2 linked regions of the Danio rerio genome follow. The protein of the gene in region 2 binds, or shares a complex with, the protein of the main gene of each other region. Links are inferred from orthologs where the notes say so. Each region holds a gene or a part of one and is shown on either strand. Other genes may lie near its edges.

The links.
Region 1: cc2d2a (region 2) and mks1 share a complex: the UniProt entries of both Homo sapiens proteins name them as parts of the tectonic-like complex. The link is inferred for Danio rerio from reciprocal best matches to the Homo sapiens genes CC2D2A and MKS1.

Annotation. Positions count from the first base shown.
Region 1 is NC_133180.1:61,428,644-61,432,298, forward strand, and holds part of mks1 (tectonic-like complex member MKS1), read right to left. Parts: intron 1,958-3,655; coding exon 1,824-1,957; intron 1,730-1,823; coding exon 1,647-1,729; intron 1,566-1,646; coding exon 1,468-1,565; intron 1-1,467. UniProt on the Homo sapiens protein: Component of the tectonic-like complex, a complex localized at the transition zone of primary cilia and acting as a barrier that prevents diffusion of transmembrane proteins between the cilia and plasma membranes.
Region 2 is NC_133198.1:2,297,345-2,301,709, reverse strand, and holds the start of cc2d2a (coiled-coil and C2 domain-containing protein 2A), read right to left. Parts: upstream 2,933-4,365; 5' UTR 2,877-2,932; exon of another isoform or gene 2,620-2,876; 5' UTR 2,531-2,619; coding exon 2,517-2,530; intron 2,402-2,516; coding exon 2,326-2,401; intron 1-2,325. UniProt on the Homo sapiens protein: Component of the tectonic-like complex, a complex localized at the transition zone of primary cilia and acting as a barrier that prevents diffusion of transmembrane proteins between the cilia and plasma membranes.

The DNA.
Region 1 (3,655 bases), on a different chromosome or scaffold from region 2:
AATAAAATAGTAATAGATCATGAACAAGCTGTTAGTAAATCACTTACTACAGACTTGTTAGGTATCAGTTAATAGTTTGTATATGTTATTGAGACATTATTCTAAAGTTGCAGCTATTCTTTATTTATTAACTGTTAGTAAATGAGGAATAGTTGCAACATTAGAATAACGTCCCAATAACATACTTAAGCTAATAACTAACACTTAACTAATATAATAAATCTCACTCTTCAGATCAATTGTTGAGATTCTTTACCATCTAATAACAACAGTGAAACTTCTGTCAAACTTTTCTAATAAAATATTTATTTATTTATTTTGTTTTCATGTTTAGCACAAAAAGTGCCCAAACCTTATGGGTTTGTATTCTGTTCTATACTGTTGTTATGCCATGTGATGGCTCAGTATGTGTGTTTCTATACATTAAACACAATGTTCAACATTTCATCTGTGGAGTTTCTTTGGTAAATTACAGCACACAGAAAAGCCTATGAGCGGAACAAGGTTACGGTACAAAAATGTTATATTTTAAACATCACATGAAATTTCTGTAGCTTCAACTTGTTCCATCCATTTGCTGTCAATGGTATTTGTAGATGGTTAAATTATGAACAACTGATCTGTAAAGTGAGAGTTAATATATTGGTTAAGTGTTAGTTATTAGCTTAGGTATGTTATTGGGAAGTTATTCTAAAGTTGCAACTATTCCTCATTTACTAACAGTTAATAAATGAAGAAGAGCTGCAACTTAAGAAAAACAACCCAATAACAAATAAAAACTATTAACTGATACTTAACAAGTCTTTAGTAAGTGATTTACTAACAGCTTGTTCATGATCTAATACAATTTTATTAGGTATAGTTATAAATCATTAAAATACACTTAACAAGTCATTTATAACTTGTTAACTAACAGCTTGTAAAATATCTATTGGCTATCTATAAGGCACAGTTATAAACAATTAACAAACTATTAACTTTTATTTAATAAGGCATTTATAACCCATTAACTAATAGTTAACAATGATCTGTTAACTAGTTATAATGGATAGTTATACTAAAGTGTTACCCCTAGAGAAACAGTATATAAAAATGACGTAACAGGGGTGTGGCTTTTTTTTCTACTGCGAGCTAAATGAATGTAGTAAAGTAGGTGTTTTATTCAGAAAGATTGGGAAAAGGGTTTGGGGAGAGTTATTACAACAGACTCCTCCTGCTTACTATTTCTGTTTGTTGTCAAAGCTGACAACTGGAGCAGCAGGGTTAAATATGTTAGCCACACTCAATTACTAAAATAGAAGTAATCTGACAATTTTTTTACAGACTTCAAATCAAATATTAGAAGGGCAATTTTTTTTTAATGACATGCAGAGATGTGAGCTAACAAAATCATATGGTTAATTTTGATTTAGTGGGAACTTTGAAAGCAATATTGACCCCAATTTAAGTTATTTAGATCTTTCTTACCCAAAACATTATAGACAGAGCCTTGCTGACTGTGGCCCCCCAACTGATCCAGAACAGTCTGTCTTCTCTTCTTCAGTGTGCTGGCATCAATAAAAGCCCTGAATATAGTACCAGAAGCTCTTATTCAATCTTAAAGAGACAATACAGTCATGCAAGATTCGCTGATGCTGTTGGCTGACCTGGCATGCTGGATACAATTAAGAGTAAAGGTCACACTTCCAGTGGTCTGAGTGCGAAAGCCAAAGCGACTCAATCTCTCTCCCTAAAGGCAGTAGATTAGAACATTCAATTGTTTAACTGAATTACTAAACATGCCATTACACAAATTTCACAGCAGAAAATGTATAATGATTGACCTTAAAAGTGCCAGGTATTCTGACGTAACTGATGTCCTCGAGTTCAGGAGCTCCACCAATGAAGAAGCGTCTCAGTTCTGCCACTGTGCCACGCTGGACTGCTCTCCATGTGCGGCAGGTCATTCTATGACGCCCTGAGAGCACAATAAAGCCACCACTGAACAAGCTGATATTCATTTTCTTTATTTTACAAATTAGATCTTTAGTTTAGATTTGTAAAACTGGAACCAAACGTGACAATAGCACATCCTTGTAATGATTAATTGATAAACCACAATATTAAACTGAATGAATAAATGATACAGTTCCATGGAAAACCCATTAGCCATTTAATTTGGATAGATTTTATACTCTAGGATAAAAGCAACATTTCAGATCTGACATAAAACTTATTTAATCAACAAATGCAATGCAATTTAAATTATAACAAAAACAAAGAGATGAAAAAATTTGGGCACTTCAACAGAATAATGAAATTAATATTTTGTAGAGCCACCTTTGGCTGAAAAAACAGCCTGTAAACGCTTCTTATAGCCAATGATAAGTCCCTAAAGTGTTGCTGGAAGCATTTTGGGGCATTCTTCCTTGTAAAATGTCTCCAGAACATCCAGGTTTGATAGGTGCCGAACATGAACAGCCTTTTTCAAATCAATCTAGATTTTCGATGATATTCAAGTCTGGGAACTGAGAAGTCTATTATAGAACACTGCATCGCGTCTGAGCATGAATTCCTTGGTAGATCTGGAACTGTGTTTCTGGTTATTGTCCTGCTGAAACATCCAATCCTACCGTAACTTTAGCTTCTTGACTGATTCTTGAACATTGTTCTTAAAAATCTGCTGATAGTGGGTGGCAATCATGCCACCTTCAACTTCAACCTTCAACGAGAAGGTTTCCAGTACCTGTGCCTGCCACACATCCACACAGAATGATGGACCCTCCACCAATTTTACCGTAGGGAGCAGGTTCTTCTCCTGGCATACTGTGTTTTTTTTTCCACCATGCCAAGCGTCCATGATTGTAGCATCTGTCCACTGTATATTTATACAAAACGATTCAGGCCAGTCTAGATGAGCCTTTGCATACCTCATATGACTGTGAATGACTGAGATGAACCGTGAAACGATGTACAGTGACATTAGCAGCAGTAAGACATTCCTGGAAATCTTTGGAGGTGATCTGTGGTTTGTTTGTGACCGTTCTAACTATTCTTTGCCTTTGAGATAATTTTCTTGGCCTACCCCATCTTTCCTTCACAAGATCTGTTCCTGTGGCCTTCCATTTACTTACTATATTTCTGACTGTGGAGACGTTAACACTTTTTGATAGCTTTTTGCATACTTCTCCTAAATCATGTCGAATTGTCTTAATTTTTAGGTCATTAGGAAGTTCTTTTGAGGTTCCTATGTTGCTTCTTTGTAGTTCCCAATAAGGAGAAGCACAACTAGCAATCAGCTATTTTAAATATCCTTTTTCATGATTGGCTGCATCTGTATTAGGATTGTCACTCAAATCAATTTTGTGTTGTAATCAATCAGCATTAAGTGACTTCAGGTTTTAAAATTCGCACAAAAGAGAGGGTGTCCTAACTTTTGCATAGTCTATTTTTCAGTTTCAATTAAATTTCATGCGTCTCAATACTGCTACACTACATATTTCTGTCTGAAAAACATGACATCATGTAGCTTTCTCTAGAAGCCAAATGGAAACCGATCTTCTCTTATAAAGAAAGAGCACATTACTATGCAGCCACAGAGGGGTGCCCAAACTTTTGCATACAATTGTAAATGCAAATTGCAAATTAGGACATTATTGTTATAGCACATTACAAT
Region 2 (4,365 bases):
GACAAAAAGAAAACGCTATTGGCTGTTTTTTAAAGGGGAGGAGCTACTCTATGTCCCGTTCTATTTTCATGTTTAAGTTGAGATTACGTCAAAAATCAAATACAATTATTAAAGCACTTCATGGGACCTTTACAAGAGGGGAAATGCACGTTTTAAAGATTACACTATGTCCATTTAAAGGAACAGTTCACCCGAAAATGAACATTTCCTCTTCCTTTACACACAGTCAAGACATTACAAACTTTTATGAGTTTCTTTCTTCTGTTGTACACAAAAGAAGATATTCAAAAGAATGATGGGGGAATAGCAGCCAATGACATCCATAGTAGAAATAAAACATATACAATAGAGGTTAATGGCTGTTGATTCTTCAGTATATCAACAGAAGAAACTTATACAGGTTTCAAACAAGTAAAGGAAGAGAAAATGTCATTTTTTTGTGTTAACTGTACCTTCAAAATAGTTTTTTTTATTTACTTTTTCTACTGAAACAATGACATTAGTACATTTTAACTATGACATACAGAAGACAGCACTAGTCATTGAGAGTAACAACAATTTACACTGCATGAAATCTTGTCAGGCATGTTCAGAAAATGACTCACTTTATGGCATATTAAATAACTATATAAGAATACAGTTCGACCCCAAACTTAAACCTTTAACTATACTTTGCCACTATCCTTTAGAACCACTAAGTTAGGTTCAACCCATTTGTCTGGTTTATTATAGTTTAAAAGTGTTTACTTCAACTTTACAACTTGACACCTAAACGTTATTGTCAATAACTGTGCATTATAGACTCACCGGACACTTTATTAGGTACACCTGTCCAACTGCTCGTTAATGCAAATTTCTAATTAGCCAATCACAAGGCAGCAACTCAATGCATTTAGGCACGTAGACATGGTCAAGACGATCTGCTGCAGTTCAAAGTGAGCATCAGAATGAGGAAGAAAGGGGATTAAAGTGACTGAACGAGGCATGGTTTTGGTGCCAGATGGTCTGATCTGAGTATTTCAGAAACTGCTCATATACTGGGATTTTCACGCACAACCATCTCTAGGGTTTACAGAAAACGGTCCGACAAAGAGGAAATATCCAGTGAGCGGCAGTTCTGTGGGCGCAAATGCCTTGTTGATGCCAGAGGTCAGAGGAGAATGGCCAGACTGGTTCCAGCTGATAGAAAGGCAGCAGTAACTCAAATAAGCACTCATTACAACCGAGCTCTGCAGAAGAGCATCTCTGAACACACAAAATGTCCAACCTTGAGGCGGATGGGCTACAGCAGCAGAAGACCACACCGGGTGCCGCTCCTGTCAGCTAAGAACAGGAAACTGAGGCTACAATTCACACAGACTCACCAAACTGGACAATAGAAGATTGGAGAAACGTTGCCTGCTCTGATGAGTCTCCATTTCTGCTGACACATTTGGATGCATAGAGATAAAGTTGGTTTTATATTCTCACATTCATTAATTAAACAGTCTCTATATTGTTTACCATGTTTCTTTGAATATTCAATCGGAAGTAGCATGCAAGTATACTTCTAAACAACATTAACACTATCTAATTCACTGTGAACAATGTTGTACTTTGAAAGTCATTGGCTGCCAATATGATTTCCCTATTCAGAATTTGCAAAGAATACTTTTTTGAAATTATATTATTAAGGAGAATGTCTGAATATAAAACCATCTTTACCTCTATTTTGGATGGTCCGGTCAGAATTTGGCATCAACAACATGAAAGCATGGATCCATCCTGCCTTGTATCAACAGTTCAGGCTGGTAGTGGTGGTGTAATGGTGTGGAGGAGATTTTCTTGGCACACTTTGGGCCCATTAGTACCAATTGAGCATCATGTCAACGCCACAGCCGACCTGAGTATAGTTGCTGAACATGTCCATCCCTTTATGAGCACAGTGTCTCCATCTTCTGGATAACACACCATGTCATAAAGCGTGAATCATCTCAGACTGGTGTCTTGAACATGACAATGAGTTCACTTTACTCAAATGGCCTCCACAGTCACCAGAACTCAATCCAATAGAGCACCTTTGGGATGTGGTGGAACGGCAGATTGGCATCATGGATGTGCAGCCGACAAATCTGCAGCAACTGCGTGATGCTATCATGTCAACATGGAGCAAAATCTCTGAGGAATATTTGCAGTGCCACGAATATTTGTTGAATCTCTGCCACGAAGGATTAAAGCAGTTCTGAAGGCAACAGGGGTCCAACCCGATACTAGTAAGGTGTACCTAATGAAGTGGCCGGTGAGTGTAAGTATATTTAACATAGAAATACCGCACTCTGTTGTTACCTGTTTATCATCCCTGACTTTTCCTAAAGACTCCTGCAGTTCTCTCCTCTTCTTCTTTATTTTCTCTCGTACATCACTGAGGACAACAGGACAACTTAAACTTAGAAACAGCCGTAAAACAGAATTGCTCTAAGCTTATACTCAAGTTAACGTATAGTAAAAAATAAAAACAGATTAATGTTAACAGTTACCCTGGCGATGACATTGTGCTCTAACGTTATGCATTAAACGTTACTGACGTCAGAAATCTTCCCAATACATCTCAGATCTTCAGTGTGGACCTCACAGCAGCTCCTGGATGACACGGTTCGTTAATAAAACATTCATAATGGAGGGATAAACTGCATAGCATTAGTTGAGTAAAGTTAAAGTTAGCAACAGCCTTTTATAAAGTAACGTTAGCCGAAATCTCTTATTAACAGCAGACTGTAGTCGCTCGAGGCAGGAAATAAACATTATTCTGCTCAAAAGACAAAAGAGAAACTTTCCAGATTATAGAATTATTCCACTGAAATAGTTAGTAAATGTAATAAATCTGTATTTAGCTTTACCGTCGTGCGCCGTCTCGCTGCCTGGTAACGGGTGTAAATAATCTACAACCGAACATACGGTTTGCGTCCGGATCATCCCTTTCACGTCAGCGTTTGTTCTCATTGGCCCACAGGCCCGTCAATCACCCAAATCTGGATACGTCACGCGGCAGCTCGAGCTCAATCCTGCATGAATATAAAAAAATATTAATATTAATTGTTCATTTTGTGGGCAGCACCCTGAGTCCCTGGTTCACTTATTTTGGCAATGCAATTACTCTAGGTTGCTTTGGAAAGACTTCTTACTTTTTATAATTGAGAATGTTGATGAGGAATTTTCCTTGCTGTGGGAGAATGTTTTGTTTGGTTTTGTTGATTATGGAACGGGGGCTTTACATAAAAAGAAAACATATTTTCTTAATCTTCTTGTCTTGTTAACAAAATTTTATATCCATAAATGTAAATTTTCAAACCAAAAACCTTTTTTTAATATTTTGCTTACTGAAATGCAGTATTACTTTGAAACAGTGTCTAACTCTTTCTCAAAAAAGGCTTTAAAAATAACTGAAATTTGTAAATTATATAATATTTTTCTTTAACGTGTAATGTATTTACCCCTCCTGTTTTTTTTTTTTTGTTTGTTTGTTTATTTTTTTGTTATCTGTAGTTATTTCTTTTTCCAAAAATGTTGTTCTTTTTGTCTCTTCAATTTCTTGTTAACATCCTGTGATTGTATATTCTCATTTTCGTATATTAAAAAAAAAAAAAAAAAAAAAAAAAAAGCATGAGACGCGGGCAAATTCTCCATAGAATTTATCCTGCTAAACATGTTTTGGAAAGAATGAAGCTTAATCTTTCATATATGTGTGCATTTTGTGTTCAAGAAAAAGAAACAATTTTGCATCTTTTTTTATCCATAAAAAATTACAAAGATAGAATATACTTAAAATACTGTGTCATACTCTTTTACTCACATAGCCTACTAAAACCCTCATAAGAACTATAAAACATGAAGTCATTGGTTGTTACAAACAAATTGGACAAAAAAACATTTGCTGTATTTTTAGAAACACTGAGCAGAAAAACAACGGAGATCTGCAGTAAAGCTGTTGAGTTTTTATTTATTTATCTTATTTTTATTTTTTTCTAAAGATTGCAAAATGACCTGATGTGGTGAGTATATATTTCCATGTTCTGTGATGTGTGTTATTTGATCCTCTTCAGATGGTTTTAATCATAATTCAGAAAAGGGTGTTTTCTGCCTTCTGAGCTTTGGCTTTCATGTATTTTTTCTCAACTCCAAAAACACTCCATTATACTCTTATTCATGTGAAGAAAACGCAGAAAAACACTACATTGATGTGCTGTAAAATACAGTAAAAACTGTACATTAAGGTATTTAAATATTTCTTGACAAAATCATCTTTCCATAAAGATAGGGAAAAGAGCTTTCAAATCAACCATGCAACACATGTCAGATTTTTCTTCATAATAATCTTTTACGAGCACT